Elephas maximus indicus: one gene and its partner. The protein of the gene in region 1 interacts with the protein of each later gene in a biochemical or structural test. Links are inferred from orthologs where the notes say so. Each region holds a gene or a part of one and is shown in the gene's direction. Other genes may lie near its edges.

Region 1 (15,655 bases):
TAAACACAAGCTTAGAGAATTTGCAAAAACCAAACCAAAGCTACAAGAAATACTAAAGGAAATTGTTTGGTCAGAAAATCAATAACATCAGACAGCAGCACAACACAAGGTCACAGAACAGAGCATCCTGATTCAACTCAAAAAGAGAAATCACAAAAACAAATTAAGATTAATTTTTAAAAGGAAAAAAGTTCTCAGAACAGGGAATCATTGAAGTCAATATGTAAAAGATCACAATAATCAAAAAGAGGGACTAAATACAGGAGACATAGAACTGCCATATGGAGAGGAAAACAAGGTGATATAGGACAATAGAAGTTAGGTTTTTACTTAGAACAATAGGGGTAAATATTAAGGTAACCACAAAGAGGTCTAACAATTCCATAACTCAAAATAAAAACCAAAAAAAAACATAATGACTCAGCAAACATAAATTCAACCACTATAAAAATAAGGAATGCACAATTTACAAAGAAAAGCGTCTCAGCACAAAAAATTAAGTGGAAAAATGAAATTGTCAACAACACACACAAAAAGGCGTGAAAATGACAGCACTAAACACATATTTATCTATAATTACGCCAAATGTAAATGGACTAAATGCACCAATAAAGAGACAGAGAGTCTCAGACTGGATAAAGAAACACGATCAATCTATATGCTGCCTACAAGAGACACACCTTATACTTAGAGACACAAACTAAAACTCAAAGGAAGGAAAAAAATATATCAAGCAAACGACAAGCAAAAAAGAGCAGGAGTAGCAATATTAATTTCTGACAAAATAGACTTTAAAGTTAAATCCACCACAAAGGATAAAGAAGGACACTACATAATGATAAAAGGGACAATTGACCAGGAAGATATAACCATATTAAATATTTATGCACCCAATGACAAGGTGCAAGATACATAAAACAAACTTTAACAAAACTGAAAAGTGAGATAGACACCTCCACAATTATAGTAGGAGACTTCAACACACCACTTTTGGAGAAGGATAGGACTTCCAGTAAGAAGCTCAATGGAGACACGGAAGACCTAATTGCTACAATCAACCAACTTGACCTCATTGACTTATACAGAACTCTCCACCCAACAGCTGCAAAGTAAACCTGTTTTTCTAGCACATGTGGAACATTCCCTAGAATAGACCACAGATTAGGTCATAAAAAAAACCTTTGCAGAATCCAAAACATCGAAATATTATAAAGCATCTTCTCAGACCATAAGGCCATAAAAGTGAAATCAATAACAGAAAAATCAGGGAAAAGAAATCAAATACTTGGAAACTGAACAATACCCTGCTGAAAAAAGACTGGGTTATAGAAGACATTAAGGAGGGAATAAAGAAATTCATAGAATGCAACGAGAATGAAAACACTTCCTATCAAAACCTCTGGGACACAGCAAAAGCAGTGCTCAGAGGCCAATTTATATCGATAAATGCACACATACATAAAGAAGAAAGAGCCAGAGTCAGAGAACTGTCCCTACAACTTGAACAAATAGAAAGTGAGCAACAAAAGAATCCATCAGGCACCAGAAGAAAACAAATAATAAAAATTAGAGCTGAACTAAATGAATTAGAGAACAGAAAAACAATTGAAAGAATTAACAAAGCCAAAAGCTGGTTCTTTGAAAAAATTAACAAAATTGATAAACCATTGGCCAGACTGACTAAAGAAATACAGGAAAGGAAACAAATAACCCGAATAAGAAATGAGATGGGCCACATCACAACAGACCCAACTGAAATTAAAAGAATCATATGAGATTATTACAAAAAATTGTACTCTAACAAATTTGCAAACCTAGAAGAAATGGATGAATACCTGGAAAAACACTACCTACCTAAACTAACACAATCAGAAATAGAACAACTAAATAGGCCCATAAACAAAAAAAGAGATTGAAAAGGTAATAAAAAAATTCCCAACAAAAATAAAGCCCTGGCCTGGACGGCTTCACTGCAGAGTTCTACCAAACTTTCAGAGAAGAGTTAACACCACTACTACTAAAGGTATTTCAAAACATAGAAAATGACGGAATACTACCTAACTCATTCTATGAAGCCACCATATCCCTGATACCAAAACCAGGTAAGACACCACAAAAAAAGAAAATTACAGACCTATATCCCTCATGAACATAGATGTAAAAATCCTCAATAAAATCCTAGCCAATAGAATTCAACAACATATCAAAAAAATAATCCAACACAACCAAGTGGGATTTATACCAGGTATGCAAGGCTGGTTTAATATTAGAAAAACCATTAATGTAATCCACCATATAAATAAGACAAAAACCACATGATCTTATCAATTGATGCAGAAAAGGCATTTGACAAAGTCCAACACCCATTCATGGTGAAAACCCTCAGCAAAATAGGAATTGAAGGAAAATTCCTCAACATAATAAAGGACATCTACACAAAGCCAACAGTCAACATCACTCTAAATGGAGAGAGCCTGAAAGCATTTCCCTTGAGAATGGGAACCAGACAAGGATGCCCTTTATCACCGCTCTTATTCAACATTGTGCTAGAGGTCCTAGCCAGAGCAATTAGGCTAGACAAAGAAATAAAGGGCATCTGGATTGGCAAGGAAGAAGTAAAATTATCTCTATTTGCAGATGAGATGATGTTATACACAGAAAACCCTAAGGAATCCTCCAGAAAACTACTAAAACTAATAGAAGAGTTTGGCAGATTCTCAGGTTATAAGATAAACATACAAAAATCACCTGGATTCCTCTACATCAACAAAAAGAACATCGAAGAGGAAATCACCAAATCAGTACCATTCACAGTAGCCCCCAAGAAGATAAAACACTTAGGAATAAATCTTACCAAGGATGTAAAAGACCTATACAAAGAAAACTACAAAGTACTAGTGCAAGAAACTAAAAAGGACCTACATAAGTGGAAAAACATACCTTGCTCATGGATAGGAAGACTTAGCATAGTAAAAATATCTATTCTACCAAAAGCCATCTATACATACAATGCACTTCCGATCTAAATTCCAATGAGATTTTTTAATGCGATGGAGAAACAAATCACCAACTTCATATGGAAGGGAAAGAAGCCCCGGATAAGTAAAGCATTACTGAAAAAGAAGAACAAAGTGGGAGGCTTCACTCTACCTGATTTTAGAACCTATGATACAGCCACAGTAGTCAAAACAGCCTGGTACTGGTACAACAACAGGCACATAGACCAATGGAACAGAATTGAGAACCCAGATATAAATCCATCCACATACGAGCAGCTGATATTTGACAAAGGCCCAGTGTCAGTTAATTGGGGAAAAGATAGTCTTTTTAACAAATGGTGCTGGCATAACTAGTTATCCATTTGCAAAAAAATGAAACAGGACCCATACCTCACACCATGCACGAAAACTAACTCCAAGTGGATCAAAGACTAAAACGACAAAGATCATGGAAGAAAAAATAGGGACAATGTTAGAAGCCCTAATACAAGACATAAACAGAATACAAAACGTTACCAAAAATGACGAAGAGAAACCAGATAACTGGGAGCTCCTAAAAATCAAACACCTATGTTCATCTAAAGAATTCACCAAAAGAGTAAAAAGACCACCTACAGACTGGGAAAAAGTTTTCAGCTATGACATCTCGGTCCAGCGCCTGATCTCTAAAATCTATATGATTCTGTTAAAACTCAACCACAAGAAGACAAACAACCCAATCAAAAAGTGGGCAAAGGATATGAACACGCACTTCACTAAGGAAGATATTCAGGCAGCTAACAGATACATGAGAAAATGCTCTCGATCCTTAGCCATTAGAGAAATGCAAATTAAAACTACAATGAGATTCCATCTCACTCCAACAAGGCTGGCATTAATCCAAAAAACACAAAATAATAAATGTTGGAGAGGCTGCGGAGAGATTGGAACTCTTATACACTGCTGGTGGGAATGTAAAATGGTACCACCTCTTTGGAAATCTATCTGGCGTTTTCTTAAAAAGTTAGAAATAGAACTACCATACAACCCAGAAATCCCACTCCTCGGAATATACCCTAGAGAAATAATAGCTTTTACATGAACAGATATATGCACACCCATGTTTATTGCAGCTCTGTTTACAATAGCAAAAAGCTGGAAGCAACCAAGGTGTCCCTCAACAGATGAATGATTAAATAAATTATGGTAGATTAACACAATAGAATACTACGCATCGATAAAGAACAGTGATGAATCTGTGAAACATTTCAGAACATGGAGGAACCTGGAAGGCATTATGCTGAGTGAAATTAGTCAGATGCAAAAGGACAAATATTGTATAAGACCACTATTATAAGATCTTGAGAAATAGTATAAACTGAGAAGAACACATACTTTTGTGGTTATGTGGGGGAAGGGGGGGAGGGTGGGAGAGGGTTATTTACTGATTAGTTAGTAGATAAGAACTACTTTAGGTGAAGGGAAGGACAATACTCAATACATGGAAGGTTAGCTCAACTGGACTGGAACAAAAGCAAAGAAGTTTCCGGGATAAACTGAATGCTTTGAAGGTCAGAGGAGCAAGGGCGAGGGTTTGGGGACTATGGCTTAAGGGGACTTCTAAGTCAATTGGCAAAATAATTCTATTATGAAAACATTCTGTACCCCACTTTGAAGTGTGGCTTCTGGGGTCTTAAATGCTAACAAGCAGTCATCTAAGATGCATCAATTGGTCTCAACCCACCTGGATCAAAGGAGAATGAAGATCACCAAGGTCACACGATAACTATGAGCCCAAGAGACAGAAAGGGCCACATGAACCAGAGACTTACATCGTCCTGAGACCAAAAGAACTAGATGGTGCCCGGCCACAACTGCTGACTGCCCTGACAGGGAGCACAGCAGAGAACCCCTGTGGGAGCAGGAGAACAGTGGGATGCAGACCCCAAATTCTCATAAAAAGACCATACTTAATGGTCTGACTGAGACTAGAAGAATCCCAGCGGTCATGGTCCCCAAACCTTCTGTTCGCCCAGGACAGGAACCATTCCCGAAGACAACTCATCAGACATGGAAGGGACTGGACAATGTGTTGGAGAGAGATGCTGATGAAGAGTGAGCTACTTGTATCAGGTGGACACTTGAGACTGTGTTGGCATCTCCTGTCTGGAGGAGAAATGGGAGGGTAGAGAGGGTTAGAAACTGGCAAAACCGTCACGAAAGGAGAGACTGGAAGGGCTGACTCCTTAGGGGGAGAGTAAGTGGGAGTATGGAGTAAGGTGTATATAAGCTTATATGTGACAGACTGATTTGATTTGTAAACTTTCACTTAAAGCGCTATAAAAATTATTTAAAAAACCAACAAACAAACAAACGGCTGCAGCAATATATCGACAGGAAACTGCCAGAAATTCAGGCCAGTTTCAGAAGAGGACGTGGAACCAGGGATATCATTGCTGATGTCAGATGGATCCTGGCTGAAAGCAGAGAATAGCAGAAGGATGTTTACCTGTGTTTTATTGATTATGCAAAGGCATTTGACTGTGTGGATCATAACGAACTATGGATAACGCTGCGAAGAACGGGAATTCCAGAACACTTAATTGTGCTCATGAGGAACCTTTACATAGATCAAGAGGCAGTTGTTTGGACAGAACAAGGGGATACTGATTGGTGTAAAGCCAAGAAAGGTGTGCGTCAGGGTTGTATTCTTTCACCATACCTATTTAATCTGTATGCTGAACAAAGAATCTGAGAAGCTGGACTGTATGAAGAAGAACGGGGCATCAGGATTGGAGGAAGACTCATTAACAACCTGCGTTATGCAGATGACACAACCTTGCTTGCTGAAAGTGAAGAGGACTTGAAGCACTTACTGATGAAGATCAAAGACCACAGCCTTCAGTATGGATTACACCTCAACATAAAGAAAACAAAAAGCCTCACACCTGGACCAATGACCAACATCATGATAAATGGAGAAAAGGTTGAAGTTGTTAAGGATTTCATTTTACTTGGATCCACAATCATCAGCCATGGAAGCAGCAGTCAAGAAATCAAAAGACGCATTGCATTGGGCAAATCTGCTGCAAAGGACCTCTTCAAAGTGTTGAAGAGCAAAGATGTCACCCTGAAGACTAAGGTGCACCTGACCCACGCCATGGTATTTTCAATCACATCATATGCATGTGAAAGCTGGACAATGAGTAAGGAAGACCAAAGAAGAGTTGACGCCTTTGAATTGTGGTGTCGGCGAAGAATATTGAATATACCATGGACTGCCAAAAGAACGAACAAATCTTCCTTAGAAGAAGTACAACCAGGATGCTCCTTAGAAGCAAGGATAGCGAGACTGTGTCTTACATGTTGTCAGGAGGTATCAGTCCCTGGAGAAGGACATCATGCTTGACAGAGTACAGGGTCAGCGGAAAAGAGGAAGACCCTCAACAAGGTGGATTGACACAGTGGCTGCAACAATGAGCTCAAGCATAACAATGATTGTAAGGATGGCTCAGGACCGGGCAGTGTTTCGTGCTGTTGTGCATAGGGTCGCTATGAGTTGGAACCGACTCGACGGCACCTAACAACAACAGCAACAACTGGGCTGATCTCTAAAGTGAAAAATACCCGGAATTATTACTTTGCTTGAATTAAACCACGGACGAAGAACAACATGAGCGCTGCACCTTAGAAAAAGTGACGGCAATTGGGAGTCTGAAGAGCTGGACCCATGTCCCAGGGCATTCGTTAGCTGTGTGATCTTGGGCAGGTTACCTTGAGACTCAGTTACTTCTTTAAAAAAAAATGAGAGCAGATAATAAAGTCTGCCTTTTTCTTTCCTTGGAGCTCTGGTGGCATAGTGATTAAGAGCTTGGCTGCTAACAAGAAATCTATCAGCCACTCCTTGTTCTGTCCTGTGGGGTTGCTATGAGTTGGAATCAACTCAGTGGCAATGGGTTTGGTTTTAGCTTCTTTTATGAAGTGGTTGTAAGAATCTATTGGGGATGTTTGTTATGAAAGAGTTTTGAAAAACAGATCATACATCATTATATGTAAGGCATGATGTTTCCATGGTTAGTTGACAGGGAGAAGCCAAGCTAAGGTTATGTTTACTTGGAGACAGTTTATGTGCAAAATTGTCATATGATTTAGTAAAAATCAGCCAAGTTTTTCAGACAGAAACACCCAATTACATTAAATATTATTTGAAGTATTGCCTTGATGTCTGTTTCATTCTACCTGTAGTGTTAACGTCGTGCTGGACATTCAGCGGATGAAGATTCAGAACACAGACCCATTTCTGATAAAATTATTAATTGCATCCATTACAAATTATTGGATTAAAAAATTTTGGATTCTTTTTTATGATTGTGTCGTAGGATGCATGACTCAGCTGTATAAGAATGCCTTCTTCCGAGGTGGGGATGTGGTCTCCTTGTATAGCCCAGATGCCCAGCACTGTCAGATGACATGCACCTTCCACCCCAGGTGTTTATTTTTCAGTTTTCTTCCTGCAAGTTCAACTAATGATATACACAAAAGGTAAGTTGGTATTTCATCGTTATTATTTTTTTCTTTGTGCTTTAGGGGAAGGTTTACAGGGCAAATTAGTTTCTCACTAAACAGCAAATACACATATTGTTTTGTGACATTGGTTGCCAACCCCAAGACATGTCAACACTCTCCCCTTCTAGAACCTTGGGTTCCCCATTACCAGCTTTCCTGTCCCCTCCTGCCTTCTGGTCCTTGTCCCTGGGCTGGTGCCCCCAGTGAGTCTTGTTTTATGGGCCTAATATTTGGCTGAACGGTGAAGCTCAGGAGTGACTTCAGCACTGAGCTATAAGGGTGTCTGGGGGCCATACTCTCAGGTTTCTTCCAGTCTCTGTCAGACCAGTAAGTCTGGTCTTTTTTTGTGAGTTAGAATTTTGTCCTACGTTTTTCTCCATCTCTGTTTGGGACCTTCTATCGTGATCCCTGGTATTTCATTATTGAGGAAGCCAATCGCTTTTCAAAATGGAACCATTCTTGTGCAAAAAGATTTAGCTTATCATGGGGTTACATTTCTCAGACGGGATTCTAGGAACAGTGTGGTCAGAATCAACTGAAGTGGCTTTTGCATATGCAAATTCATAGGCCCCACCTACCGAACCAAGGTCTCTGATGCCTGGAAATCTGCATCTTCAACAATGGCTGCATTCACTTAAAAGTAGTGGAAGGTAATTATTTTCTATCCAAGGACACAAGGATCTCAGGAAAGGGCCTGATAACAGGCATACGTTTCATGTGAACGAGGAAAAATACTACCGTCTCACCCACTATGAATATTTGTATATAACACAGTCCTAAGAAAATAGAACTTAAGACAGCATTTTGTTGAGAATGTAGGTGGGTGAGGTCTAGAACTTGTGACATTGGGAGACAGCAGCAGTGAATGGAGGCCTACTTGGTAGACCTAGGGTGTGTGTGTGTGTGTGTGCGAATATGTATGCGTTAACTTATAGGTTGGAAAAGTAAGACCACTGGAAAAATAGTTGGTGATTAAAACGTTTATTAGACCATGAGGATGCCTAGATACAGCCATAGTCTCATTTTAATTATCTTTAATTTTGATCAGTATCCAGAATGGACTATTTTTTGTTGTTTCCATTTATAGCTCTTTTGTTTTATCTTCACCCTGTTTGACTTTAAGAACTAGGAATCACGCAATCATCGCCTGACCCTGTGTGTTAAACTTGTACAGAAAACCCAGACATTACCTCAGAGGCACCGTGTTAAATGCTGAGTTTGGTTCTAGAATCCTGGTGAATAATGAATTTAACATTAAAATTGACATTAAATATCAAAAGAAGCATTCCATTAGGTGCAGTCTACGAATAGTTAATAAGCAAAATGAGCACCATAGATAGACTCAACTGTTCTGACTAATTTCATTTCTTAAATAAAAGAAAAAAAAAAAAAAACCGTTGCTGTCCAGTCGATTCCGACTCATAGTGACTCTATAGGACAGAGCAGAACTGCCTCATAGGGTTTCCAAGGAGCGGCTGGTGGATTTGAACAGCAGACCCTTTGGTTAGCAGCCAAGGGCTAAAGCATTTAGAAAAATAATCACCAGGTGACAACAAAATTTCCTGGAAGTTCTGGAGCAAAGGAAAAATCATTAATTTTTCAATCTGGTTGGTTTTCTGCACTTAAAAATGTGACTATAAAGAAAATCCACGTCCCAGTTTGTTAGGCATTACAGTGACGCTTAGATATTACGCAGTTGCCTCTAAGGATCCACTTTCTATCAAGTATCCAGGAAACTGGGTTTTTCCTTATCATTAGTGCATAGAAAATGCTAGCCATTACCTCGATGCCTGTTTGTTCTTCTACCTTCTGAGTGAAGCCAATTTTAAAAACAGGTTTGGTTGCTTCTTGAAAGAAAGCACGACAGGGATCCTTCCAAGGGCGCCAAAGGCTGGGGCAATTTCCGGACATTCCCTAAAGCACTGTGGACATTACATCAGTGGTAAGTTGCGGAAATTTTTCGCTAAATTTGAATTAATAATGGGTCTACCTTAGAGTAATTTTTGTTCAGAGTCTGGACTGTCACAGACTCTTGGAAGGGTGCCTTCAGAAAAATAACAGATACAGGGCAGTATTCTGGACCTAACAGAGGAAGCCATGTTCATCTTGACCATGCTCTTATCTTCACCAGGCAAGGCATGCTTAATGAGCCTGTATTATTTATACGGCGCCCTGGTGGCACAGTGGTTAAGAGCTCAGCTCCTAGCCAAAAGGTCAGGAGTTCGAATCCACCAGCTTCTCCTTGGAAACCCCATGGGGCAGTTCTACTCTGTCCTATGGGGTCACTATGAGTTGGAATTGACTTGACTACAGTTGGTTTGGTTTTGGTTAATAATCAAGACACTCTCACAATCAGGTCCAAAATCAGGTGAGTTTATAGCTTTCAGCTACCCATGAATAAAAGTTGCAATTAGTAAATATCTCATGCCAATTATTAACCTATTTCATTTCCCACGTTCAGCAAAGTTGGAAAAGTATTTCATTTCCATAGTCTTCAAATTTCCATGTACATGAACCACTGCGAATAATCCACCCCTGCCCTCCTCCTCAGTATTTTGCTTTCCTGTTGGTTTTTTCTGTCTTTCTCACCTTAAGGATTTAAGATTGAGCATTATGAGTTCATCAGTCCTGTCTCTCAGAAGTGGGAAATTGCACACAGTATCCTTTGTTCTGTTTATCTAGTTTCCTTAAACAAAAGTCTAAGAAATTTGAGTCTTCAGTAAAATTAAAAATATATATATATGTAACTCACTCACTTGGTTTGCTGTTAAAAGGATTATCTACATCGTTTTGTGTATAAGGTACATTTCAATAAAAAGAGTGCTTAAATCGAATTTAACAAACTTTTAAAGCAGGAATAGAAATGGCTTTATCACACGTAGACCAGAACTCTCCACCTTTTGTGACAATGATTTGACACGTGGATGTCAACGAGAGGGCTTACCATTGCAAGGATGCAATCAGATGGGAGTAGCTGAAAATGTTGAGAAATAAGACAAAGAAATTCCTCCACTCGGTTAAAGGGTCAACGCTAGCGTTCTAGAGGTGGTGGGGCAGGGAAGGGGGAGTCAGAATACGTTTATTTCAAGCGAGGTTTTATAATTAAAGGAAGCAATAAAAATTTTAGGGCACCCAAATAAAAGGAAAGTTGCCAAATAGGAACCTCCTTTCAAACCATCTTACCCAAACGTGTGAAGAGTTGACAGCCTACCTGTAGAAAAGAAGCTGACTACATTGGCCCTGTGCATTTATTCCTGCAGCTTGCCACCCAGATACTTATAAAGGAATTGATATGAGAGGAACCAATTTTAATGTGTCTAAAGTTAGAAGTGTTGAAGAGTGCCAGAAAAGGTGTACCAATAACATTCACTGCCATTTTTTCACGTATGCCACACAAACATTTCCCAGTGCAGAGTTCCGGTGAGTAAAATTCACAGTGTTCTTTCTGGAGGTGCCTTTAGAATGTAATTGTATTCTTCATAACCTCTTTTCCTTTTTTTTTCAGTTGAAATCGAAAACAGGGTTTTTATACCTAACCACTCTTCTTATTTACTTACTCAGTTTTGATGTCATTTTTCCTGAAGAGACTAAGTCCACTTGGTCCACAGATAGGCTCTGCTTGTGAAATTAGGGGCTTTGAGTTACCGGGGTTTTGTAGAATAAGGTCTCCCATTCCCACCTTAACCTTGCCTCTGCAGAGCGGAAGGATGTCTATTTGTTTCGTAATGCAAATCTCGAGCTTACTCATTAGCAGGGTCACTGTTAATTATTGTTTATTTTCCACTGCCCATTCATAATTCTGACGCTAAAATATTTTGTACTGCAGTGCACACCTTGAAGTTTAGGAAGCAAAATAACCCCTTTTCTTCATATTCAGGAACAATTGCTTATTAAAGAGTAGCCCAAGAGGAACACCGACCAGTATAAAGCTGCTGGATAATGTGGTGTCTGGATTCTCACTGAAGCCCTGTGCACGCTCAGAAATAGGTAATTGTAAGGCTACTGCTTCACTATGCAATGGTAATGGGCGGAATGAAGACCCCCCACACACGCCTCCCTCCTCACCATCCTCCCCCCTACCCCAAAGATGTCTGTGACCTAATTCCCGGAACCTGTGGATATGTGACCTTACATGACAAAAGGGGTTTTGCAAGTTATGGATTTTGAGAATGGGAGGGTAGGGGGATACCCCTGGTTTATCTGGGCATGTCTGAAGTACTCACAGGGTCCTCATGAGATAAAGAGTCCCAGAGACAGATTTGAACACGTTACACTGCTAGCTTGAAGACGGGGTGAATAGCACGAGCCAAGGAAACTGGTGGCTTCTAGAAGGTGAAAAGCAAGGAAGCGGCCTCCTCTGGAGCCTCTTCTTTATCCCAGCAAACCCCGCTGTGGACTTATGACCTGCAGAATTGTAAGATAATAAATTTGTAAGTCACTAAGTTTTCAGAAATTTGTTACAGCAAGAAGAAATTACTACCGTACAGGAAACTACAAGGTTTTTCTTGGTGATGTCTGTATCTAGAAAATGAGTCTATCATAGTGGATCAAAACCCTGTCATTTCAGACATGTATGTAATTTTATTTGAATCCAGAAAGTTGCCATGACATTCTACTTTAATTAGCATATCGAGGTGTTAATGACAAGATGTTGTTGAAACAAAGCCAATTCTATGCATTACCAAGTGCTTACCCTGTGCCAAGCCCTATACTGGCTTTTGGGCTATGGCCATTCTATGGAAGATTGGAAGTGGGCAACTTTCCTCTCATTTGTCTCTTCCTTCAGTATATTCCCTCCGCAGCGTGTGCCATATTTATTGCTTCAAATTCAGTGATTGCTACTAATAGTCCTTTTTATTTTTTTTCCCTGTGAGGCTTCTTGAAGATTTTTATTTAGAAATCTTCTGTTCTTTACACAGCACTGTTGTTGAAGGCATTTGTTGCACTCTTCCAGGGAGCTGGCATGGTCAGGCCCCTCCCTCGGGCCATTCTACACTGCTATCCATGGTCTGAAAAAGCACCCCATATAGCCAATTTCTGTCCTCTGTCAACAATTATCCTGTTCTGTGCTTGGTTTCCTCATTAAATTGCAATGAGTTCACATATTACTTTAATTAAAAGGCCTTCACAGAGAGAGAAAAATCCTGGACATTTCAGGAAATGTTGTGCCCTGCTAAGGTTATTGTTTTTAGTGGTCACTTTTCAACATTCCTCAGGGAACATCTAGTAGCCAGTGGCATTCTATACCTATAGTAAGCCTCTGGAGCCGCCTGCCCACTTGAAATTCCCAAGTTAGTGATTTGTAGCCATTACTAGAAGTTTGTTCTGTTTCTTCAAGGACGTAATTTGATAGACAAGAAACATGAGGCTCATAGAGTTGAAATGTTGTGCTCAAGGACATACGGGCCAGGACTTCAACCTGGGTCTTTAGGTCACAAATTTCATACCCTTTCCCCCTTTTTAATGTAAAGTCTTCTAGTCTTAACCCATATATCAAACTAATTATATTTACAACTTCCTTCTCTTCTTGCCCAAATTTCTGTATGGATTTAAAAGTGCTCAGAAGAATCGCACTTCTCCAGTTAAGTTAAATAAATAAACTATTTGCAACTCAATAGTGGTAACTTTTATCATGTTGTTGTTGTTGTTAGGTGCCATGAAGTCCGTTCCCACTCAGAGCAACCCTATGTACAACAGAATGAAGCACTGCCTGGTCCTGCACCATCCTCACAATTGTTGCTATGCTTGAGCCCATTGTTGCAGCCACTGAGTCAATCCATCTAATTGAGGGTCTTCTTTTTCCCTGACCCTCTACTGTATCAAGCATGAAGTCCTTTTCCAGGGACTGGTTCCTCGGAATAACATGTCCAAAGTATGCGAAACAAAGACTCACCATCCTCTCTTCTAATGTGCATTCTGGCTGTACTTCTAAGACATGTGTCCATTCTTTTGGAAGTCCATGGTATATTCAATATTCTTCGCCAACACCATAATTCAAAGGCATCGGTTGTTTTTCTGTCTTCCTTATTCATTGTCCAGCTTTCACATGCATATGAGGCAATTGAAAACACAATGTCTTAGGTCAGGTGCACCTTAGTCCTTAAAGTGACATCTTTGCTTTTTAACACTTTAAAGAGTTCTTTTGCACCAGATTTGCCCAGTGCAATGCCTCCTTTGATTTCTTGACTGCTGCTTCCATGGGTATTGATTGTGGATACAAGTAAAATGAAATCCTTGACAAGTCCAATCTTTTCTCTGTTTATCATGATGTTGCTTATTGGTCCAGTTGTGAGGATTTTTGTTTTCTTTGTGTTGAGGTGTAATCCATACTGAAGGCTGTGTTTTTTTGTCTTAGTCAGTAACTGTTTCAAGTCCTCTTTGCTTTCAGCAAGCAAGTTTGCGTGATCTGCATATCACAGGTTCTTTCTGAGTCTTCTACCGGTCCTGATGCTCCTTTCTTCTTCATATAGTCCAACTACTTGGATTATTTGCTCAGCATACAGATTGAATAAGTATGGTGAAAGGATAACCCTGATACACACCTTTTCTGATTTTGAACTACACAGTATCCCCTTGTTCTGTTGGAAAGACTGTCTCTTGGTCTAAGTACAGCTTCCTCATGAGCACAATTAAGTGTTCTGAAATTCCTGTTCTTCACAATTTTATCCATAATTTTTTTATGATCCACACAGTCAAATGCCTTTGCATAGTCCATAAGCACAAGTAGACGCCTTTCTGGTTCTCTGCTTTCAGCCAGGATCCATCTGACATCAGCAATGATATCCCTCATTCCATATCCTCTTCTGAATACTGCTTGAATTTCTGGCAGCTCCTGGTGATGTACTGATACAACTGCTTTTGAATAACCTTCAGCAAAATTTTACTTGCATGTGATATTAATGATATTGTTTGATAATTTCTGCATTCTGTTGAATCGCCTTTCTTTGGAATGGGTACAAACGTGGATCTCTTTCAGTTGGTTAGCCAGGTAGCTGTCTTCCAAATTTCTTGGCATAGATGAGTGAGCACTTCCAGCCCTTCATCTGTTTGTTGAAACATCTCAATTGGTATTCCTTCAGTTCCTGGAGACTTGTTTTTAGCCAATGCTTTCAGTGCAGCTTAGACTTCCTTCAGTACCATTGGCTCTTGATCATATGCTACCTCCTGAAATGGTTGGATGTCAGCCAATTCTTTCAGTACAGTGACTGTTTTTATTCCTTTCATCTGCTTTTGATGCTTCCTGCATCATTTAGTATTTTCCCTGTAGAATCCTTCAATATTGTGCTCAAGGGTTGAATTTTTTCTTCAGTTCTTTAAGCTTGAGAAATGCCGTGCATGTTCTTCCCACTCTTATCATAATACCCATCAATTCCTCTATTAAGATGGTAAACATACTTCTCAAACTAATAATAATAAAACACAAACTGGAAAACTATTTCTTCTTTTTGTCACCTCTCGATGGGAAAGGTAGTCTGGCAATTGGAGACGGATGATAGAATTGCAATTTCTGAGAAGAACCAGTTAGTATGTTTGAAATAGAGAATGTACTATAAAACAATAGGTTGCATAGCCAAAGTATCTATAAGTAGATGAGACTGATAGGAGGGAGGGCTAACATTAGATAGAAAAAGAAAATAAAAAATATGTGAGGACATTGGGCTGAAATTATTTCATATATGTAGAGTGGGTAAGTGTAAGGCTTTTAAATTCATAAATACAGAATGGCAAATACAGGACTTAGTAGTGGTTCATAAGAAAGCCTGAAGAATACCTTTGACGGCCAACTGCCAGTAATCTATATTGTAAATGCTAAAAATCTAATGTCAATTTTCATCTACATTAATGGTATATCCATGTTTTACAAATTAGTGTCTGTGTTCCTTCATTTAACTCTGTAGGACTCCTTTCAGCGTCTTTTGTAGGGCAGGTCTGGTACTGATGAATTCTCTCCATTTTTGTTTATTTGGCAATGTCTCAATTTCTCCTTTGTTTTTTGAAGGATACTTTTGCTGGATATAGAATTCTTGACCAACCATCTTTTTTCTTTCATTGCTTTGAATATGTCATCTACTGCTTTGGCCTTCATGGTTTCTGATGAAAATTCAGCTGTT
Region 2 (15,736 bases), on another chromosome or scaffold:
CAGGCAGGAAGGGAGGAAGCATTCACTAGTTCCTTTGCTGGCTGTTCAAATTTTCAACAGAAGAAGTTCTAGGGTCCTGCTTAGTGGCCAGTGTGGGTAATACAAATGCAGAAGGGGGGGTGGGTAGGGGAAGAGGAGGCTCCATGCTACATGTTTTACAGTGCGATCTCATTTAATTAAGCCCTTCTACTACCATGTGGGTTAGATAGTATTATCCCCATTTTATAGACAAAGAAACTGAGTTTCGGAAACTCTATGTAACTTGCTTAAGCCCACATAACTACTAAATTGTGAAGTAAAGATTAAACATACGCCTGTCTGACCCCAAAACTGTGCTTAGAACCACAATGCTTATCAGTCTCTTCTATAAAAAAAATCTTCTTCTTGTCCTAGTCTAACTTTGGCGGCTGGATTTAGGGGCCTCTGGGGCATAGGAAGGAAACCCTGGTGGCGTGGTGGTTAAATGCTATAGCTGCTAACCAGAAGGTCAGCAATTGGAATCCACCAGGCACTCCTTGGAAACTCTGTGGGGCAGTTGTACTGTGTCCTATAGGGTCGCTATGACTTGGAATTGACTCGATGGCAATGGGTTTTGGGGCATAGGAGGAACCCTGGTGGTGTAGTGGTTAAGAGCTATGGCTGCTAACCAAAAGGTCAGCAGTTCAAATCCACCAGGCGCTCCTTGGAAACCGTATGGGGCAGCTCTACTCTGTCCTATAGAGTTGCTATGAGTTGGAATCGACTCTACAGCAATGGGTTTGCTTTTCTTTTTTGGTTTTGGGGCATAGGAATGACAGCCAGTTGCAACCTGTGTGCTTGAGGTGGCACAGCAGACACATACCTTGACAGGGTCCATGCAGACACATCTTTACACTGGCTGCCTCCTTTCCAACACTTTTCTCTAAGGGACCAGTCAAAGTTGTACAGCTGCCTCTTCTACACAGTTCCTCATTCTCTCTAGGCCCGGGCAGAGCTGAGTTGAGTTGGCCCAAAGGCAAGGCAACAGTGGAGCGGTGCTCCCCATCACTGTCCACGGGGAAGCCTAGTGCTGGCAACTGCTCATGGAGGAGAACACAGCAATGTCTAATAAAACAGTCTGAAAGCTGCACTTTTCTCAACGTATTGACTAGGACAGGTGGTTAAGTCTTTTAATATTTGATACTATTAGTCTGATTTTTCTAAAGCTCTTCTTCCTTTCACAAATATCTAGAACTGACACCTTCACGCCACTCACATTCTCTCTCTCACACACACACACGCACACTTACACTCCCAAATTCACTAACAGGCTTCTCTCTCCCTTATAGGTCTTTGGATTCTGCAGAGCAGATTTTTCATATGAAGTAGAAGCCTCTGACTTGGAAACCCCAGAAGATCTTGTCACCAATTGTGACGTCTTCAGTCTTGAGGTGGGCTGCTGCCAGACAGGGCTTCGTCACAAGCAGACGAAGTGAGGTTTCTCACACACTGAGTAGTTGATTCTTACAGATTGGTATGTGTGTGTACGTGTGTGTGTATATAAGAGAGAGAGAAAGAGAAAGAAAGGGAGAACATGTATGTGGCTCTATTCTATGCTGCAGAGAAGGGTTTTGCCTAACGCCACCTCACTGGAAGGAGTTCAACTAGCAAATGTGGGGAAGGAGGGGAAAAGAGAGTAAGGAGAACAGGTCCCTGGGGAAGGGGATGCCGTTGCTGGGAGAGCACAAAAACTACAAAAACATTTTACAAGAATTGCTAAGGGGTGATATTTTGACCAAAAAATAAAACCATGACCAATTCATTCAACTTTGAATGAATTTGAATATGGTCCTTGTAGTCAGGCTTCCACTGCTGAGTCTTAATAATTGTTAGCTTTTATTATTAGGCATGGAACCTAACCTAAGAGGAATTACCTTCAAATGCATTAAATAAAGGTATATTAAGTAAGATGCAAAATGATATTTTACATTTGTCCCAGAAAGCTTTGTCCTGTTTTAGGGGTGAGCACAAAAAACATTCTTTGCGGTATTTCTTATATTAGCAAAAAAAACTAAAAATAATTCAGACATCTGTGTGCCAAGTCCCCTCTCCCCCAAAAAGGGCAGATCTGTTACCAGGAACATAGCTCAATATATTTTTTAAAAAATTGAAATCTAAACAAGGAGGAGAGTGAAGAAGGGAGGGAGGAAGAGAGGAAAGGGATGCTTACGCATAAAGCCCCAGAGCTCTGTTGAGAATATAAGTTAGAAAGTATTAGTTCCGTGGTCTCACCCCATCCAGAGCAAGAGAAAATTGAAGAAAACCAAAGATACAAAGGAAAGATTAGTCCAGGAACTAATGGACTGCAACTACCACAGCCTCCATCAGACTGGGTCCAGCATAACTAGATGGTGCCGGCTACCACCACTGACTATTCTGATAGGGATCACAGTAGAGGGTCCCAAACAGAGCTAGAGAAAAACATAGAACAAAATTCTAACTCACAAAATAAATAAATAAATAAGACCAGACTTACTGGTCTGATAGAAACTGGAGAAAACCTTAGAGTATGGTCCCTGGCCACCCTTTTAGCTCAGTAATGAAGCCACTCCTGAGGTTCAGCCTTCATCCAAAGATTAGACAGGCCCATAAAACAAAATAAGACTAAAGGGGCACACCAGCCCAGGGGCAAAACAAATAGGCAGGAGGGGACAGGAAAGCTGGTATTTGGGGTCCTAAGGTTGAGAAGGGGTGAGTGTTGATACATCGTGGGGTTGGCAACCAATGTCAAAAAACAATATGTATATTAATTGTTTAATGAGAAGCTAATTTTTTTTTTTTTTTTTTAGTTTGCTCTGTAAATTGTCATCTAAAGTACAATTTTTTAAAAAAGGAAAATATTAGTTTCCAGATGTTGGTTAGCAGATAGGTGCCATTCCATAACATAGTTTCACCACTTTATATTGAAATGAGAAAAGTAAGGATGACAAAGTTTTTCATAATACAACATTTATTCCATCTAAAGGACCATTCTTTATTCTGAGATTGTCTTTCAAATCCATTTGTTGTCAAAATGCTTTTCGTTTTGTGAAGTAATGATGGTGGTAGATGATAGTTTATGTTTGTATTTTAAATGCCAACTTGGTTAGACAAAAATTTGACAGCCGTTGGTTGGTATCCTTCTTTTTAAATTGATTAGAGTCCAAAAGTGTGGGGACTATTAGTCTAAAATCTGACTTCACCTTTTGTGTTACATGATGATATTCATTTTCCATGTTTTTTTTTTTTTTTTTTTACCAGGAACATAGAAATTTCAGTGGTGGACAACACTATTTGGGCCATCCATTCCACTCTGGTGGACATCATCCCCATGAGGATCATCCCCACGGACCCCCTCCCCACGGACACCCCCCCCACGGACACCCACCCCACGGTCACCCCCCCCACGGACACCCCCCCCACGGACACCCCCCCCACGGACCCCCGCCCCACGAACACCCTCCCCACGGACCCCCGCCTCACGGACACCCCCCCCACGGACCCCCGCCCCACGGACACCCTCCCCACGGACCCCCGCCTCACGGACCCCCGCCCCACGGACCCCCGCCTCATGGACCCCCACCCCACGGACACCCACCCCACGGACCCCCGCCCCATGGACACCCCCCCCACGGACCCCCTCCCCACGGACCCCCTCCCCACGGACATCCCCCCCACGGACACCCTCCCCACGGACACCATCCCCATGGTGACAATTTCCATGGCCACACACCCTGTGACCCACCACCCTATTACCAAGGTCCCCGTGATCACCCTCGCCATGACCTGCCACCTAGGCATCCAAAAGAAAGAGGCCCAGGTAAAGGACCCTTTATCTTCCATTGGAGACAAGTTGGATATGTTTACCGGCTCCCCCCACTAAACAAAGGTGAAGTTCTTTCTCCTCCTGAAGCCAATTTTCCCAAGCAGTCATTGCCAAGCCAAAACAATCCCCTGAAGCCAAAGATTCAGCCCTTCCCTCAGTCAGCCTCTGAATCATGTCCAGGGAAGTTCAACAATGAGTTTCTACAACTTCTGCAGTTTTTTGAAAATACAATTCCAAAATAAAATCTGATTTCCTTGAAGGAAGAAATGAATAATGTTCCGACTTTGAACTATAAATAAAAGTATGACCCATAATAAATGCAAAAATTACAAGTTATTTAAACCTTACTTTCATACTCAGAATAGAGTAAAATGTAGGTGGGGGAGGAAATGGCAGGAAAAGAGAGAGAGAAGTAGGAACGAGATGAAAGATCTCAGGACTACAAGTCAATAGTTCATCCTGTCACTGACTACTACATCATTCCAGGCAAATCTCCAGTCCTCAGAATTTCTTTCTTTCTTGGACTTAACTCCTTAATTCTAGGGTTTTTATCTGTGTTACTGCTTATGACTATAGTTGGGCATACCAAGAAGTTATGTATCACGTAAAGCATTATTCTTACAAATGTTACTCAAATTGTCTTCCACTGTTTATTTCTTGCCATCTAATTTTCCTTTGAAAAAATAAGTTATCAACCCAATTATGAAATGTAATTTTTGGCCTCCCTGGACCTGGGTTTTACCTTTCTCTACTTCCCGTTCAGTCAGCCAACCCTACATTCAAACACTGATGCAGGCATGAATCATGACCATAAATTCAGGTGCACAAGAAATTTCGCTTTTTCTTCAGAACAAATTAATTTCTATTTCAGCTTGCCATCCTGCTGGGTTAATGGAAAACTTAATCCCAGGCATTTTTGGAGTCCCCCACCCTGTCACTCCCCACAAAAGGTTGCAACACAGTTCCAGAATCTCACATATTGGCAAGGTGTTTGGTGATGGACATGGGAAGGATGTCTGATTCTTGGTCATTTGTCCACCAGGTCTTCCCTGCTGAGGGATACCCACCACCCTGTTCCCATCACTCTTTGGGTCTAGTTTATCTGCCACGTCTGTATCAAACTGGGGAGATAGGAGACTCTGTGGGACTGCTAATGGGCATGACTGCCAATATACCATACGACTATTCTCTTTCTGGGATCTGGTTACCTTCCAGACTGCACGCTCAGAAAGGCCTCTGCTTCAGGAACCCCCGGGCCCTTATGCTCTACTCATCTCTTCTCCCTAAGCTAGGTACTCTCTCACTACCCCCTCTAGTCTCAGATAAACAAACAAACAGAACCCACTGACATCAAGTTGATTCCGACCCATAGTGACCCTATAGGGCAGAGTAGAACTGCCCCATAGGGTTTCCAAGGAGCCACTGGTAGATTCGAACTGCTGCCCTTTTGGTTAGCAGCCAAGCTCTTAACCACTCTGCCACCAGGGCTCTAGTCTCAGCTAAGTCCTTCTGTATTCACTTTGGGGTTGGAGAACACTTTATCCACACTCTAAGGTGCTTTCTTTTCCCTTCTTTCCAAACCCAAGCTTGAGCATTTAGAAACAGGCCAATATGATGTCAGGTCAGCCCTACCTTCCAGCCAGAGTGGTGACACTCAAAATATTTAAAAATCAATATGACACAAGCACTGAACGATCAGACCAGATGTTAACAGCCAATCAGAACAGTCGCCAGCCATGAACAAACAGTGTGGCCATACTGGTGGCACCAGCTGAATGTTGACCCTGCAGAAACACATCCCTCCATGGAGGCATAAATGTAGGGTTGACTGACTGAATGGGGAGTAGAGAAAGGTAAAATCCAGGTCCAAAAAAAAAGGTCCAAGGAGGTCAAAAAAACACACAGGTTAATAATTCAAAGTATTATCCTCCCTCAGAAGTATTTGAGTAATGTCTTATCATTTGTAAAGTACTTTAACAAACATTGCTTAAGTTGATGAAAATATTACCTAGAAAACATAAAAGTGGAAGACTCTCAATTCATTTCAAATAAATGCATTTGTAATATACAAACACAGTTGCTTCAGGGGAAAAGCAGGGGTAAGAAACAGTCCTTACCCTTGGGGAGCTTTGGGGAGCTTACATACTGCTAAAGGTTTTAGATAATAACACCAAGGACTGCTGCTTTTCTAGATTTTCTGTGTCATGACGGCTAAAGAGTATATGAATGTTTGTTTATAAAAATGCATTCCATCAACTTCCAAAGGCGATGTTAACAGGGTCAAGATAGTATGACTACCTTCTCAAATGTCTAAAGCCCAAATGCCTCAGGCTCCAGAAACTACTCCAGAAAATTTCTTCTTCTGCTTCCCAACATCACCCTTTCCGCCAGTGTGCTATCATTTTTTGAGACTGATAGACAAGAAATCTTTCTTGATTCTTCCCTTTGCTTTATCACCAGTAAAATCTATGACTGCCAGGACTTGGTTTTGTTCACTACAGTGCCTATAACATACTAGGTGCTCTAGAAATATCTGTTCAGTCAGTGTATATAGCAAGCATGTCAGTCAGGAGATTTTCATATTGTGACCCTAATACTCCACAATAGGTTTTCACCTTTTCAAATGAGCGACTGAGAGCTTGACGTAACTAACACCATGATGAACCTTTAAGTTTTTTTCTGCCTGCCTTCTCCTTTCCGCATACTTTTGTTAATGACTTTGTTTTGTTCTGTTTGGCCACTTATGACTTACACCCCTACGTGAAGATTAGAGCCCAGGTGTCTGGCATGTGTATCTTTAGCCTGATAAGGAGATGTCCAGCATGTATCTCTTTATCCGATAAAAAGTCTCTTGTAATTACCTTGTAATGAATAACTCATCGGGCTGGGCCTTCTGTGGGCTACCTGCCAAAAGACACTTCGTAACCCTTGCAATAGCTATATACAAGCTCTAACGTGAAATTGCCTTTTGGGACTCCATAAAGACAGTCTGCCGTGCTGCAGAACTTTCCTTTGGTGTCACCTTCTAAATAAATTTTCTCTCGCTTTCTGACTTGGAGTACGTTTCATTGGCTCGACTGCTCCAGGGCACGGACCCTAATTGGACAACAATATGTTAAGTAATTTAATCCTTACAACAACTCACTTAGACAGGTAATATCATTGTATGAGTAGGCCAGCTACTGTAACAAGCACAGTGGCTTAACAACACAGGATTTGATTGCTCTCTCATGTAACTGTTCAGTGTGGGTTATTTACAGATGGCCATCCACATGGTGATTCAGGGTCTCAGGCTCCTTTCATCTTGTGGCTTTGCCCTTCTGGTAGGCCTCAGTGTTTTCTCCTGGATCCTCTTTTTCTAGCACACATAGGGAAAGAGTAGAGCAGCACATGGGTGGTTTTTATGGGCTAGACTTGGAAATGGGATACAAAAGGTATGCTCACATTTCACTGGCTAAAACTCAGTCACATGGCCACGCCTAACGCAAGGAAGGATGAGAAATGAAGTCTAGCTGTATGCCAAGGAGGAAAGAAAAATGAGTTTGATGAATACCTAGCCAGCCACTACCACAATCACCATATTTTAGAGAATGATTAGACCCAAAGAGGGCCTTATAGTTAGTAAATTATGGTACTGGGATTAGAACCCTGATCAACCCTCCTTCAAGGCCCACATTCTTCCCTCTTTATTATACTGCCTGTGAATACTGCCAAGTCCTGTTTTCTAGTCTTTATTTGAAACACCCGCCATGTGGAGCCTTGACTTCCAACTCCTCCTGGACTAAGCCACATCAGTCATTTCTTCACTCCCCAAGCTTCAGTTTCTCCATCTCTGTTGGTTCGCCTTTCCTCTCAGCCTAAGAACTTACCTAAGTTACTTTCACCCTTAATTTTTTTTCCCTACATCTCTCCATTAGAATGCACCTTCTACCATCACCATGTACCTGAAACCAGGGCTTCGAACTGGTTCCTTCTGGTTTGAACCCCTGCTGAGAATCTGCATTTCTAACAAACTCCCAGATGAGCAGTGGTTCTCAAAATTTATTAGACGTAAGAATCACCTGGGGATCTTGTTGAAATGTAGATTCTGATTCAGTATATCTATGGAAATGTAAATTCTCAGCAGGAGTTCGAACCGGAACAAACCGGTTCTAAGCCCTGCCTGAAACTGCTTCAATAAGACAGAGATTCTTAACTATCCCGCTCTAATAAAACCCGTTGCCATCGAGTCAATTTTGACTCATACCGACCATAAAGGACAGCATAGAACCGCCCCATAGGGTTTCCCAGACCATAATCTTTATTGAAGCAAACCACCACATATTCTGCAAAGCGGCTGGTGGGTTCGAACCACTGACCTTTTGGCTAGCAGGTGACTATTTTAACCACTGTACCACCAAGGCTCCTTTTCTACTCTAATAGTAAGTATAATCTGTAAAAACTAATTACCAATCCCTGTACATAGGTTAATTGCTCAGGCTGCTAACCAAAAGGGCTGCAGTTCGAATCCATCAGGCACTCCTTGGAAACCCTACAGGGGCAGTTCTACTCTGTCCTATAGGTTCGCTCTGAGTTGGAATCCACGCGATAGCAACAGGTTTGGTTTGGCTTTGGTACATATATTACCTCATCTACCCCTCAAAAAAAAAAAAGTAATATAGGTATTACTTTCCACATTTTACAGATGAGGAAACTAAGGCTTAGAAAATCAGGGTTGCATAACAATTAAGAAGCAGAGTTAGATTGGAATCCAGATTGGATTTACTGCCAAGCTCATGTTCCTGCCACTGTTTCAAGGCCACCACTCAGCCTACACCGACCTCTGTTTTCCAGAGGCTGTCAGGGAGACTGAATCTCCAAGCTAGAAATCCTGCCAACAACAACAAAGAAGTCACCTTTTTTTTTTTTTCAGTAAGAAAGCCCTACTAAGCGATAACCCAACTCTTTAAACTATCCACAGACCTCCTCTCCCTGAATCCATTGCCATCAAGTTGGTTTCGACTCATAGTGACCCTATAAGACAGAGTAGAACTGCCCCATAGTGTTACCAAGGAGTGTCTGGTGGATTCAAACTGCTGACATTTTTTTTGTTAGCAGCTGTAGCTCTTAACTACTATGCCACCAGGATTTTCCTCTCCCTGGATAGTCCAACTTTATCAAAAAGGTTGCTTAGGCCTAGTGAGGGAAAGACACCCATATTCACCTAAACAGAGGCAAGAAGCAAAGATAGGGGCTTCAGGGCTTCACGCAAGACCTCTATCTGTGCTTAGGCTTCTCCTCTGCCTCGTTCACCCTGGAGAGTGCTTTCCTTTACAGACTAACAAGCCAAGTGGAAAGAGGCTGAATGAACCAGAGACCAGATCCAAACCTGTTGTAGTCAAGTCAATTCCACCTCACTGAGACCCTATAAGACAGAGTACAACTGCCCCCATAGAGTTTCCAAGGAGTGGCAGGTAGATTCGAACTGCCAACCTTTTGGTTAGCAACCAATCTCTTAACCACTGCCCCACCAGGGCTCCCAGGATGCCCATAATTTATTTTCAGTTGTGCCAATGTCTTGCTTTGGGACTCTCAGTGTTCACTTTATTCCTCTGAGCATGGGCTTCCCCAGGCATGCAATCTGATTGTTAGTAGCCTGTTTCTATGCAAATAGCCTGCAAAGAAATTCTACTGTGAGAGGTGTTTCTGCAGTGGTGCATTGTTGTTATATGCAGGGCCCTTTTTAAATGCCTTTGGGAGAGTCACAAGGAAATAACTGAGCTAGTTGATGGTTCTTTCCTCTTCCTTTTTAGGTGCTGCTCCGATTTGCTCGATAAAGCATGTTGTGTAATCACATGGACAGGTGCTCTGTACCCCCCTCCTACAACCCCCATGCTTTTAAAATGCAAACAAGCAGGGCAACAACCCCAGTGTTGAAATGTTCCAGTTAGAAACCTGTTTGGATAACCCAGCAGTGCTATTTGCCCTTCTGGAATAGGGCAAAACAGTGCATGGTAGTGGGAATTCAAGCAGGCCCACAGAGCGCTGAGGCAGAGAGGAGAGGGCAGAGGCAATAAGGGACCGGAGACACTCTTGGTGAAACCACCCTTCAACAGCTAGAGGGAAGACTGTTAAATCATGAAACTAATCGCCATCCTCTTCCTCTGCTCCAGGCTGCTCCCAAGTTTGACCCAGGAACCCTTCTCAACGGACATTGACTGTAACAACGAGGAAGTTTTTAAGGCTGTGAATGCTGCACTGAAGAAATATAACGGTCAAAACCAAAGCGGCAACCAGTTTGTATTGTACCGTATAACCCAGGTCATCAAGACGGTGAGTGAGCTGTGTTTGACCTTGAGGTCATTTGGGATTTGTGCTGTCCCACCAAGTCCAGGTCTTTTGCTTTCCCCCAGTTGCCTACCCCCAAGACCTGATAAGCAAAGGCAGACGCTTACACCTTGGAAAAAGCCAAACTCTCTGGTCTAGGAAGGCAGCGTATGACTAGTCCTGGGACCACTAACACTGGCTACCCAGATGATCAGAGAGGAAGTTTGCTCAGGTGAAATGAAACAAATGTAAACGGAATTAAAAGGACTAAGCAGAATGGAAGATCCAGGAACTCAGGTGGGCTATAGCAAGAGTATCCACTGCCTGGGTAAGAAATAAATAAAGTCCTCCACACCTCAGGGGGGAGGGGGTTCCTAAGAATCTAAGAGAAGACGTAAGTGAGAATAACATGGTTGAATGCATCCAGTTAACAGCAGTGTTTAGTTGGTTTTTAATAATTTTTAGCACTGCAATGATGCCGTTGCAATGATCCCAGCAGGATGCATGATACAAAGAAACACAAAGCTTCCCAGGATTTGTTTCAATGAATTTCACTGTAAAGTGTTATGTGTCTGGAATAGTAAAGCCATTGGTTACTTCAGTGGGGGAAAAAAATTCCAACCATTTCACATCAAGAGGCTAAAGAAAAAAGCCACAGTGGATATTTTTAATTTTTTTTTTTTTCTGAAGGTAAAGTTGTGCTATTGTGTTTCACAATCTGACATACTCACATGGGGAGTGCCAAGTTCCGAAGCTCTAGATACGACTAAAATGACCCTCCAGCCTTCCCGGGGTGCTCACATGACAGTTTGTTGGTTTTGTCTCCATTTGCTGATAATTTGTGGCAAATGTGGTTTTTTGTTCTCAAACATCCATAAAACCACTTCTTTATTCTTACTTCCCCCTGTGGGCACAGCCTATACCATACCACTTACTGCTTTATAAGACACGAATGAACTTTATAAGACTTTATAAGCTTTATAAGACCTGGAAGGAATTCTCAAGATTCTCTTGTTTGACTCCATTATCTGGGCCCTCCCTTCTCTCATCTGCAAAATGAGGGGCTGGACAACATCACCTCTCAGGTCCCTTGCTGCTGGGACATGCTAGGACCTTATACCTGAAAGCTCACCTGAATCAGCACAATAAAAAAAATAAAAAGAGTTTTTTTTTTTTTTTTTTAGCACTTGAAAACTCTCATTTATTACCTTATGACCTGGGGCGGGGGGGGGGGGAGGAAAGCAAATGCATTTATTAAAATTCCTTAACCCCATCATCCAGAGATAACTGTTCACTTTCTTTTTTTTTCAGAAATGAATAAAGACCTCTTTTATTTGCCTAATCATAAAAGATAACCCCCCCCCTGCAAAATAGACTCACTGCTGTCAAGTCAATTCCCACTCATAGCATCCCTACAGGACAGAGTAGAACTGCCCCCATAGAGTTTCCAAGGAGTGCCTGGTAGATTGGAACTGCTGACCTTTTGGTTAGCAGCCATAGCACTTAACCACTACGCCACCAGGGTTTCCAAAAGTAAGATATGTTTGAATAATAAATAAAGTTAAAATAAGAGGGGAAAAAAGTAACATGTTTGTTAAAAAGCAGTCAGACAATGCAGGAAGGTTTATTTAAAGAAGAAAGTAAAAGCCTACTGTAATCCTACCACCAAGAGACAAACTCCTAACAGCTTGCTGCATACATACCCTTTCAGACCTTTGTAGACATATGTGTATATGGAAGGCCTGCTAACCAAAAGTTTGGCAGTTTGAATCCACCAAGCGCTTCTTGGAAACCCTATGGGGTAGTTCTACTCTGTCCCATGGAGTCGCTATGAGTCGGGAGCAACTTCAAGGCAACAGCTTTTTTTTATCTATGAATATATAAGTTGGCTTTTAAAAAAGTGAGCTAATACTGTGGTTACTGCTTTGTAAACTTTAAAAAACATATTTGCCAATATATTGTGAATATTTTTTCCCAAGTAAATATTTATAACTTTCAGTACCCTTCACCTGACATCACTGAATCAAATCAAGATCAAATATTCATAACAACACCAGATCCCACTCCGATTACATGCTGTTGGGTTGGTGGGATGAACAAAGATATGTTTGGTTGCGTTTTTTTTTTTCAGGAAAGCTCTGGCACATTTTATTCCTTCAAGTACGAAATCAAGGAGGGTGATTGTCCTGTTCAAAGTGGCAAAACCTGGCAAGACTGTGACTACAAAGAAGCTTCGGAAGCTGTAAGTTCATTCGGGGATGGTTACCACACCTCCCGTGTTTTCTGAGCTTGCCAGGCTTGTGTACTTGTGCAGGGGATGATTAAATTATGGTTCTAAGCCCGCTTATGGGGAATCCACATAAACACTCAGATTGTAGAAAAGTCAAATGCTTGATGTCTATGTTCTCGCATAGACAGAAAGGGACGGGAGGCCGGCCACCAGTTAAACATGGAGAAAGAAGCTCTCCCATGAGAAAACCAAAAACCAAACCACTTACTGTCCAGTTGATTCTGAGTAGAACTGCTCCATAGGGTTTTCAAGTCTGCGACCTTTCAGAAGCAGATCACCAAGCCTGTCTTCTAAGGCGTCTCTGAGTGGACTTGAACCTGTAACCTTTCAGTTAGTAGTTGAGTGCTTGACCATTTGCACCACCCAGGGACTCCACTCCCGTGAGAAGCGGGCTCTGATGACCAAGCAGGACATATGGACCCCACCCCGGAGAGATGAGAGATTGACACTTATGCTGAGCTCAAAGGCTGGAAAGGGGAAAGGGTGGGTGCTCCAACTTGCACAGGCCTTAGTGCAGATCCTAGAGCCCTGGTGGCGCAGTGGTTAAGAGCTGGGCTGCTAGCCAAAAGGTAGGCAGTTTGAATCTATCAGCAGTTCCTTGGAAACCGTATGGAGCAATTCTACTCTGTCCTATCGAGTCGCTATGAGTCAGAATCGACTGGATGGCAACAAGTTTTTTTTGTTAGGTAGACTTCGTACTCTGGTGGAGCAGTGGCTAAAGTGCTCGGCCGCTAACCGGTAGGTCGTGGTTCTAATCCACCAGCAGCTCTGCGGGAGAAGGATGTGGCAGTCTGCTCCCGGAAAGATTACAGCCTTGGAAACCCTATGGGGCAGTTCTATCCTGTCCTATGGGATCTCTGTGAGTTGGAATCAACTTGTTGGCAACAGGTTAGGTAGACTTCTCGGCCCAAAAGATTAAGATAAGTACTCACTCTGTCTCTTCTTTCTTTTTAGGCCACAGGGGAATGCACAGCGACAGTGAAGGGGAAAGATACAAAATTCATCGTTGCTACCCAGACCTGCCAGATTACTCCAGGTAGCTGATACCTACGGTGGCAGCGCTGCCACGGGGGAGAATCCACCATTTCTGTTTTTGGTTTAACGTTTTTGGTGTGCCAGGGACAACCTAGGCCAGGCCTGCGCCCCCTGCTGGAGGGCGGCAGTAGCGAGACAGCTGCAGCGTCTGGGTGAGGGGGACCGGGAGAGGGCGCTGGAGGAGCACGCAGAGTCTTGAGGTCGGGGCCAGGCTCACGCCGGTCATCCCCTCAGCACTATTTTCCGACGCTCTTCTTCCTGTGAGGCGCTGTGTTAGGTACCTCGCACAAAGACAAGAAGACAAGACCCGCCCTCAATGCTGGGCAGCACCCTACAGCGAGAAAATCACAGGCTTTGAGGTCAGGCCTCTCAAATTCCTTCAGCTTTCCTTTTCCTCCTCTGTAGAAGGTGGATAACGGTAATTCCCGCTTCACAGGATTTTTGTGAGACTGAAACAGGGCGATACGCCAGAAGGTGCAATGCCTAAACCCATTGTGGCTGAGTGGATTCCAACTCATAGCCACCCTATAAGACAGGTGCAATATCTAAACCCAAAAAAAACCCAAACCTAGCAACCATAATATTGTATTAATCATAAAAACCAGACTAGCTAACATGGATTGGGGGCTTACATTCCAGGCACAGTTTTAAGCACTTTACACGTGTTAACTTACTTAATCCTCACAACAACTCTATGAAGTAGGTGTAACTATCAGCCCATTTTACAGGCGAGGAAGCTGAGGCCCAGAGCAGTTAAGTAATTTGCCCAGGATTCCATAGCTAGTAAGTAGCTGGAAGAGTGGACTCTCAATAAACGAAATTCCTTAAGGATATAATTACGGAGCAATGGATCAACAAATACAACCACTGTTAGCTCCTCCCTCATGTGGCAGAAGTGCCAGGTACAGAGGAAGGGGCAGAGCTGGGGGTATCAATTGAACAAGCCTTCCTGCAATTGGCCCCCTGAAAGGTAGTGTTTTAGTGCATGAGGCCTGTAGAATAGCATCTTCAGGCTTCACAACTGAACATCACCCTCGTGGCAGGTCTATGGTCTTTGTCATCCATAAGCAACCCAGAATATCTCCTTTGCCTTGGGGTTCCATTCCTGCAAGAAGTCACATTCAGTGTAAAACACTCCAGAATAGAAAAGAAATCACAAGGAATTGAAATCTCTATTTGAATTTTAGAAAAACCTCCAGAATTGTTGCTGTATATTGGAAAATGATTCTGTCATCCCCCCCCCCCAAAATGGGGTTTAATATCTTTCTCTACTCCTCTCACCCTCAAAGCCTTCTACGCAGCAAAGGTGCCTCCGTCTCTTCTCTTACCCCTGTTCATCTTCTAATAAAAGCTTCTAGATAAAAAATAATTATCTTTCCAGTACAATTGCCCTCCAGATTTTTAACATCGCTTGTTACCCTGATTCCACATGACTTTCTACAAAAAGGAAAGGGAACAAAGCTATACATATTTACCCAGTAATTTTTTTCTTGACATACATTTGCAGTCAGCACATGGCTGTGGGCCTGCTGGGTGTAGAAGCCTAGGACTCGTAGGCGGGGATTCATGTATAGCACTCATGCTTCAGCCACTTTTCCCTTTCTGTACTGTAGCATTTGCCTCCATTGGCCGCCATGTTGGGGGCTATTCGTTATCCACATCGCTTGGTAATTTAGTACAAACTTCTGCTTCATAGCTTAATTGTCATTAAAAACCCTTCACTGGCTCCCCGTTCTTAGAGCAGACCATTCTTCATTCACTTCAGAGGGTCTGTGAATACCCTGAAACTGTATGGAAAATGTTCTGAGCATATACATTGTCTTAGTAACCTAGTGCTGCTGTAGCAGAAATACCACAAGTGGGTGGCTTTAACAAACGGAAATTTATTTTCTCACAATTTAGGGGCTATGAGTCCAAATTCAGGGCTCCAAGTCTAGGGAAAGTTCTCTCTCTGTCAGCCCTGGGGAAAGTCCCTTGTTCCTTGGCTCTTTGGTGATCTTCATGTGGCATGGAATCTCTCTCCCTCCACCTTCACTTTTTAGCTGCTTGCTTAATCTGCTCTTTTATACCTCAAAAGAGATCGATTTAAAACACATCCTACACTAATACTAGAAACCCTAGTGGCGTAGTGGTTAAGTGCTACAGCTACTAACCAAAAGGAAACAGTTCGACTCCACCAGGCACTCATTGGAAACCCTGTGGGGCAGTTCTACTCTGTCATATAGGGTCTCTATGAGTCGGAATCAACTCGATGGCAATGGGTATGGTTTTACGGGGTCCAC

Evidence for each region.
Region 2: the proteins of plasma kallikrein-like (region 1) and KNG1 form a complex in vitro, tested with the Homo sapiens proteins (4 studies listed by BioGRID). The link is inferred for Elephas maximus indicus from reciprocal best matches to the Homo sapiens genes KLKB1 and KNG1.

The regions. Positions count from the first base shown.
Region 1 is NC_064840.1:80,125,019-80,140,673, reverse strand, and holds the start of plasma kallikrein-like, read left to right. Parts: upstream 1-7,443; coding exon 7,444-7,520; intron 7,521-9,379; coding exon 9,380-9,486; intron 9,487-10,804; coding exon 10,805-10,964; intron 10,965-11,421; coding exon 11,422-11,531; intron 11,532-15,655. UniProt on the Homo sapiens protein: Participates in the surface-dependent activation of blood coagulation. Activates, in a reciprocal reaction, coagulation factor XII/F12 after binding to negatively charged surfaces.
Region 2 is NC_064819.1:28,297,591-28,313,326, reverse strand, and holds the start of KNG1 (kininogen-1), read left to right. Parts: upstream 1-9,747; 5' UTR 9,748-9,940; coding exon 9,941-10,135; intron 10,136-12,260; coding exon 12,261-12,371; intron 12,372-13,373; coding exon 13,374-13,455; intron 13,456-15,736. Other genes in the region: HRG (histidine-rich glycoprotein), read left to right, coding at 1,308-1,409, 3,259-4,065. UniProt on the Homo sapiens protein: Kininogens are inhibitors of thiol proteases.